Linked DNA regions of Mus musculus. The protein of the gene in region 1 purifies or fractionates together with the protein of each later gene. This does not show direct contact. Links are inferred from orthologs where the notes say so. Each region holds a gene or a part of one and is shown on either strand. Other genes may lie near its edges.

Region 1 (3,648 bases):
CGCAACAGTTCAGCTTCTCAACTCACTACTGTGTGCACGGTGTGTTCTCCAAGCTGACACCAACTCAAATGCTTTCCGTCCTAAATCTTTTAGTCCTAGTATTAAAATAATAAAACCAGGGCATGCCCCCTGAGGACGGGCGATGTGTCAGGCTCGTGCAGGGGGTGGGGAGAGTAAGCAGTTTGTACCTCAGTCTCACTGAGGCCCATGGCATGCATGGAGGGAGCCAGGCTTTAGGGCAGAAGTCGCTTGTGGTGTGTTTATTGAGGTCATGGTTTTAGAAACATGAGCAGAAAAACACCATCCCTGGGGTTACCTCATTCTCAGCTGCAGCGGCCAGAGACTCCCAAGGCAGAACAGATGTGAGCAAGAGATACACCGTAGTGGACTTCTGTGGTTTGTGTTCCCGTGGCCTGTAGTATTAGAGGAGGCTCCAGGGGAGCGGGAATGTGGTCATTAGCCAGGAGGCACAGCAGAGGTGTTGATGGCTCAGAAAGGCCATTTGAAGTGATCTTTCTAAAGGGAACACTTGAAAGCGTCTTCCAAGGAGCTTTTCCAGGGTCCTGTCTGCAGTTCCCCATCAGGAACCAACTAAGCATACAAGTCTCCAGGAGGGCCCACGTTGATCTTCTGGAGGCAGCCTTGCAGAGCCAGGGGTTTACAGAGGTGTCAAGGGTTGAGTGATTGAGACGTGTGCGGGTGGTCCAGCTGATCGCATAGTTTAACTGAGCATCCAGAGACAAATCGCATTTCCTGATTAAATTGGGAGAAGAATAATTTGCTGAAATGCCCGTGGCATTTACTAGGCAACTAAAGAAGAGCGAGCAAGGAGTATTGTCCGTCAGTTGGTAATGGGGAGTGTAGAAGCGTTCTTTATTGAGACATCTCAGGAACCAAGGGTTTAGGCAGAGGGGCAGGTGCTCAAGGCCCACGGTTGCTAGGCTGGTGGCTCAGCCTCTGGAGCCCATGTGTGACAGCTGGCCACTGGCAGGCACTGTGCTGGGGGCTTTGCATGAGGTGTCCTTACGCAACGAAGTCCCCTGGTGCTGTTAGCACTTATTCATGGTGTCACTCATCTAATCTGAAGAGAAGGAAGTTGCCTTAATTTGGGCAAATATGGCAGGTAGAAACTTGCAGCCAGAATATTCAGCCAGGAGTTCTCAGATAGAAAAAAAAATACATATTTTTAAATAAACAAACACGATGGCCTGATTTTTACTGGACCAGGATCGTTCTGGGGAAGGGTAGTGATACCCTCCCCAGCATGCAAAAGGCAGGCAGTGAAGCGGGGATTTCTGTGGTGAGATGGATTAGGTGACCTAATAGGTCTCTCTCTCTCTCTTTTTTTTTCTCTAAATTTCTAGGAGTCTCATGATTTGAATATTGATGAACTCTTTGACTTGAACATTTTGTTTCTTCTAATTGTTCATCTTTTCCTGATAATTATAAGGTACACCAGGAAGATGGCATCAACTCTGCCCTTTATAAAAGGTGGATCTTTGAAACCATAGACATTTTTCTGTTGTAGTCCAGCCTGATCCTAGACTTTCTGCAGTTTACCCCTCCTCCTCTGAGGTAGTAAGAAAAGGGAAGTGCATTTTCAAAGGTCTGTCTGCTTTGTTCAGCCGGCCTGTTCTTTGTTAATAGTGAGAAATTGGGTCCATCCGGGAAGCGTGCGGTCATTGGAGGTGGGAACAAGGAGCAGCTTAGTCGTAGCCAGTCAGGCCTAGGATCTGCAAACACACAGGGCTTCCTGTCGCTTCAGATCCCAGGGCTGAATAGAAATCACCTAAGAATAAAGGGGTCACTCAGTGCTGGCTTTCAGGTCTTAGTTTCCCAGACAAACCTGTCGATCTCATCTTCCTACGGTTTTGGTTCAAAGAGAAGGGAAACTGAATATCTAGAATCGCTTCTTATACAAAGACAACGTGTGGTTAGCTGGTTTGAGAGAGACAGTTCTGATGGATAACACTTTCATGACAATGAGACACCAAGCTAACTGTTAGGAAAGACTTGCCTTTAATTTGTTGAACATAGTTCTTCATTCAGATCTGGATGTATGCACACTGAGAGGTCATGCTAGGGTTCTAGAACATTCTCACGTCTCTTCTTGCTCAGATGTCTGACATGCCAAAGCCTGCCTTCATGAAGCAGAACCTGGATGAGCTTGGAATCGGAACGTACCACAATATTGCCTTCATTCACCCAGACACTCCCATCATCAAAGCCTTGAACATCTTCGTGGAGAGACGGATATCCGCATTGCCTGTGGTGGATGAGTCAGGTCTGTGAGGCCACGCCTGCTCCTGGGCCTGGATGAGTGGGAAGTGAGCGAGCAGACAGCGGAGGAGGAGCGAGTGCTGGGCTGCGGCTCAGTAGTCATCAGTCAGGAAAATAACTTTAAGCAGGCTCCGTTTTCAGTTTACATCAAAATACCCTCTCCTGCTTACTTCTAAACAAGCCCGTTTGTTTTACTGAACACTGTTATCCACAGTAGTTACCTAGTTAAGACTGAGATAGATTAGATAGATAGATAGATAGATAGATAGATAGATAGATAGATAGATAGATAGGTAGCTAGGTAGATAGGTAGATAGGTAAGTAGATAGGTAGATAGGTAGATAGATAGATTTTTTTTCATTACTGTTCCTAAAATGTTTTTCTAACATATGTTTTCATTTTTAGGAAAAGTTGTAGATATTTATTCCAAGTTTGATGTAATTGTAAGTATTTTTTTCATGTTTTTAAGCCTGTCATTCAGAATGCATTTTAAAACAAATGAAAACTTAAAATACATTAAGTTGTTTATTCCATGATGTAATAATTCCTGACCTTTCCAGTGAAAGTCTTGGAGAATTTCAGTCTCCTCTCAGGGGAGCTATATCTGATAATATTGCTTTACCAGTGAGCCGTGTGTACATCTGTGATGGTCTTTACTCGGGCACTCTGATGGGAGCTCGTTGTCTCCGTCCCTACAGCCCGTGAGCCTTATTTGACCACATTTCTTTTGGGGTTGCTCTGCCGATGGGGGTGCTCAGTGAACACATGAGCTGGGCCCTCATCAGTGCAGATTCCTGCTCAGGTTGGGAGACACTGACCTAAGAAGACAGCCAGGAGACTAAGATCTAGGCCCTAGTCTCCCGCGGTTCTTAAAGCCAAGCACGTCGTGACTGCTGACCTGAGTCCCCTCACTGGTGCCTTTGCCTTTAACACTGGCTGCCCACTCATCTTTAAGATAGTTTTTGAGTTTCATACTGTGTCCAAGAAAGGGAAACTGGTTTGATAGCGGAAACGGACACACATTTTGCTACAGTTTTGACCCTGCCACTAATTATGGTTTTGCAGCTGTTTTTCGGTTCAACCAAAAATAATTTCATTAATCCAGAAATCTTTTCATTAGAACCTTGGATGAATGGACCCACTAAAATCGGTGGGGGTCATGGGAGACTCCGTGGATTTCTGGTCTTCTTGATGTTAACAAGTCCCATACTTCCCGAATAGCTCTGGGAACCCACTGGGAGACTCTGATGCAGGCGCCCTCCCTCTGAGGCATGTCAGCCTCGGCAGATGTCAGTCCATTTCTCAAGAGACACTGCTTATGTGGGGTGTAGAGCCTCCATGGACAAGAGTGGGAGGAGCCTGGCAGAA
Region 2 (3,748 bases), on another chromosome or scaffold:
AAGATAGACAGATGTGAAATTGGAATGGAGATTTGGTGGGAGGGCATTAAAGGAGTTGGAAAGAGAAAGGGCAGGGACTCTGATTAAAGCACATTGTATGAAATGTCAAATAATAAATTAAAATGTACTCTTTTTTTTAAGTTTTAGGATTTACTTGTTTTATGTATATGAGCTGTAGCTGTCTTCAGACACACCAAAAGAGGGCAACAGATCCCATTACATGGTTGTGAGCCACCATGTGGTTGCTGGGAATTGAACTCAGGACCTCTGGAAGAGCAGTTTGTGCTCTTAACCACTGGGCCATCTCTCCAGCCCTAAAATGTATTCTTAATACGCATATACTTTGTTTCACCAGCCCCTTGACTTAACAACTACAGCTGTATTGATTACAAACCCACTTGACCTAGCTTAATTTCTGTCATAAAACACCCCAACTAAAAGTGACTTAGGGAAGAAAGGGTTTATTTTAATTCAGTTTCCAGGCTACAGTCCGTTTGAGGGAAGTCAAGGCAGGAACGTGAAGCACATCCTCGGTCACCAGCAGAGAGAGAGAACACATGCAGGCAGGCCTGCTCATCATGCTCGCCCATCCCTCTATACTTAACAGAGCGCAGGACCCAAACTCAGGGAACAGTACTGCCCAGAATGGGGGAGGGCTTCCCACTTGAGCATGCGCAGAAGCTAACTGGATCTAAATAATTCTTCATTAAGCTTCCCTTCCTAGGTGTTTCTTCCTTGTGTGCATTTGACAATTAATAGTAACTATCACACCACATAGGGAATATCTCTTTAGGGAAGATAAAATGGTCAGGAGAAATCCAAACAGCTCGTTCCAGCAGGGTTCTCCAGGAAAAAGATTTTTCTCATAAGCCAAAGGTCCCTTCTGCTCCATTTATATTTTAGGAAGCTGGCGCTTAGAAGCAGACAGAGACTATAACCAAATATTTTCGAACTATCCCTTGACAATGGCCTGAGAAATCAGATCGGGTATTCCACTCTACATCAAGAGGAAAAAAAAAAAAGCAAGCGCAAACAAAAGCACTTAGCAGAACATGAAAGCATATAGGCTAAGTTATATAACTTACCCTAAATGGCAAAGCAGCCGTTTGCATAACTTTGCAATGCCACAGCAAAGCAGTTCTCTGCAAAGATGGTGGCAACATCATTATCTAATCTCTATCATTATCATCTCCCAACTATCCACAACTCTTACAAGATCCCAACTTCACAAGACTTCAAAGAATTTTACAAACATTTTAGGTCTTTACAAAAATACCCACTCCGTGAGGCCACGTGGCACCTTAATATAATCTGCCAACCTCACAAAAGGCTCCATCCTTCCTTCCCCTGTTCTCCTTTCTCAATAGGAGGGGGCCATATACTTTTCACATGTATTCTGATTGTCTTTCCCTCATAGCGAGTAAGTCCCAGGAGAGCTCAGGTTTTGCTCTTTCCTAGAACTCCGTTGCCCAGAACAGTTCCCCGCATGTGGTGAGAGCATTCAGTGTTTTCTAGTTGTACAAACCGGTATTAGATACACCAAGAGGAGTTAATCCTCGCAGGAATGAGGAGTCTCTCCCTTCTATTCAAACCTTCACTGGAGGTTAAAATGTAGAAAATAAGCCTCAGCATAAAATCCCCAGACTGCTTACCCGATATTTATTCAACAACAACAAAAGGCTAATGTTTCACTTTTAATTCCCAACTTGCTACCAAGTATTTTTTTTAACAAGAGCTGTAGTTCTGTTAAAAGGACGGGTAATCAAACCCCATGTGACTCTTATTAACTAATAAGAAAGCAAAGCAAAGTTTAATACTTAACTAGTTTAGTGCAGTGTGACATTTCAAAAGCAACCAGTTTTTTTCCAAAACCCCCAAAGCAGTCCCTTCACCAACAAACATACCCCTTGCCTAAGCAAGTCTGACCTCTTGGGGACCCAAAGTCGATCACCAAGCAACATTTTCTCCCAGACCCTGACCACAGAATCCTTCCTTGAACCAATCAACCTACAGAGCTAGGGGTTCTCCTAAATTCTCTGTCCAACCCGCTGCATTCCAGCGTTTTCACACACCCAGCAGAGGGACTTGGCACCTCTCTGCTATGGGCATGCCCCTGGTCAACTCCACCATCAAAGGACTGGGACAGGGAAGAATCTGGGAAAGGCAGGGACCTCATCAGCAAGGCCAAAATTGGAGGACATCTTAGACCTCACCCTGAATCTGCCAATTCTCTGTGACCTTGGGCGTGTCTCTGAAGCCTTGGAGCTCGAGTTCTCTCACCTTTAAGGTGAGGACCGCACCCGGCCGGTGCCACGTTAAGGATTAAGTGTGACCACAGATGAGGCTCCACGCAGAGCACTTGGCACCAGTGGGAGACCCCCTCCCAATTCGCGGCGGGCGCCGTGACTCCCCCATCCTCCCCACGCTTCGGGGCCCTTCGGACTGGGCCAATCGCCCAATTCTGCAGACAAGCGAGCTGAGGCATAGAGAAAAGACAGGGCGCTCGGAGGCACCCCCCGCCAAGGCACACCCCATAACCGCTGGTCCCCCCGGACCCACGCCCGGGCTGCGGCTCCAGGTGCTTGTGCCCCGGGCTCGCCCGCGAGCGCTCCACCTGCCACCCGGCCTCGCTCGCGCCTGCCCGCCCGCCCGCGCCGCTGCACTCACTCTTCACTTTGCCGAAGGTGCCGACGCCCAGGGTGTCCCCCAGGACGTAGTGTCCGATCTTCACCCGCCCGTCGTGCTTCTGCTTCTCAGCCATGTTCGGCGCACGGGCTCCCCCTGCCGCGGGCTCTGAGCGCCGCCGCCGCTACCGCTGCCGCCGCCGCTACCGCCGCCACCGCCGCCGCCGCCGCCTACCCACAGTGCAGCGGGCCCGGGGGGCGGGACGGGGACGCCCGGGGCGCGGTGGGGAGAGCGCAGCCCGGCGCGTGTGGACGCAGGCTGGGGGAGCAGAGCCGAGGCGTCCCGAGAAAAGCCCAGGGCGGTGAAGATGGAAGGGATGAATCTGAGCGCGACCGAGATGGAAGGAGAATCTGAGGAGAAGTGGGGGTGACGGGGTGTAGACCGTGAGCCATGCCTCGGGACCAGAGGGCAAGGCGCTGGAGAGGGCGGCCCGCCCCTAGCCCCTGGCACGCTCCCCCTAGCCAAGGTTTGTTTGTCTGGGAACGTTCTAGTCCGTACCCTCTTCAGATGGCGTCCCATTGTTTTGTAGTTCCTGGTCGTGTTATTGTTAGGTCTCAACCCCCAGACAAACTGCCAACGGAGACGCCTAGCATTAACATAGCAAAGGTGACGTGACGCTGGTTCTCTCAGCATCCCTTAGTCCCCACCTGGTATAGGGTCCTCCTGCCTGGCATACCCTGACCCCTACCCTGAACTCTCCAGCCCGGGGACTGAGCTGCCCCTTCCCTCAGGTCCTCTGATCCCTAGATAATTCAGCCATTTTGGCTGTGCCAGTTTCTTAGCCCAGGCCACCCACCCCTCTTAGGCTTGGCTCCTCTCTTGCTCTCCCTCCCTCTCTCTCCTCACATGGCCCTGCTGAGTCTGACCATGTGTCTCTGCCTCTGCTTCTGCCTGTATGTTCATTTTATCTATAACAGGCCTTCCTCATTGTGTTAGTTAAAGCTTTTATTGTTGCGATAAAACACCATAACCAGAAAGCAAGTTGGGGAGGGCAGGGTTTATTTTTTACACCTCCACCGCACTGTTCATCATTGAAGGAAGTCAGGACAGGAACTCAATGCAT

The links.
Region 2: the proteins of Prkag2 (region 1) and Prkaa2 purify together in Homo sapiens (affinity purification with mass spectrometry; 5 studies listed by BioGRID and IntAct, counting the BioPlex papers as one, with this or other methods). This does not show direct contact. The link is inferred for Mus musculus from reciprocal best matches to the Homo sapiens genes PRKAG2 and PRKAA2.

What each region holds. Positions count from the first base shown.
Region 1 is NC_000071.6:24,870,130-24,873,777, reverse strand, and holds part of Prkag2 (5'-AMP-activated protein kinase subunit gamma-2), read left to right. Parts: intron 1-1,364; exon of another isoform or gene 1,365-1,450; intron 1,451-2,118; coding exon 2,119-2,284; intron 2,285-2,685; coding exon 2,686-2,723; intron 2,724-3,648. UniProt on the Homo sapiens protein: AMP/ATP-binding subunit of AMP-activated protein kinase (AMPK), an energy sensor protein kinase that plays a key role in regulating cellular energy metabolism.
Region 2 is NC_000070.6:105,107,038-105,110,785, forward strand, and holds the start of Prkaa2 (5'-AMP-activated protein kinase catalytic subunit alpha-2), read right to left. Parts: upstream 2,862-3,748; 5' UTR 2,762-2,861; coding exon 2,668-2,761; intron 1-2,667. UniProt on the Homo sapiens protein: Catalytic subunit of AMP-activated protein kinase (AMPK), an energy sensor protein kinase that plays a key role in regulating cellular energy metabolism.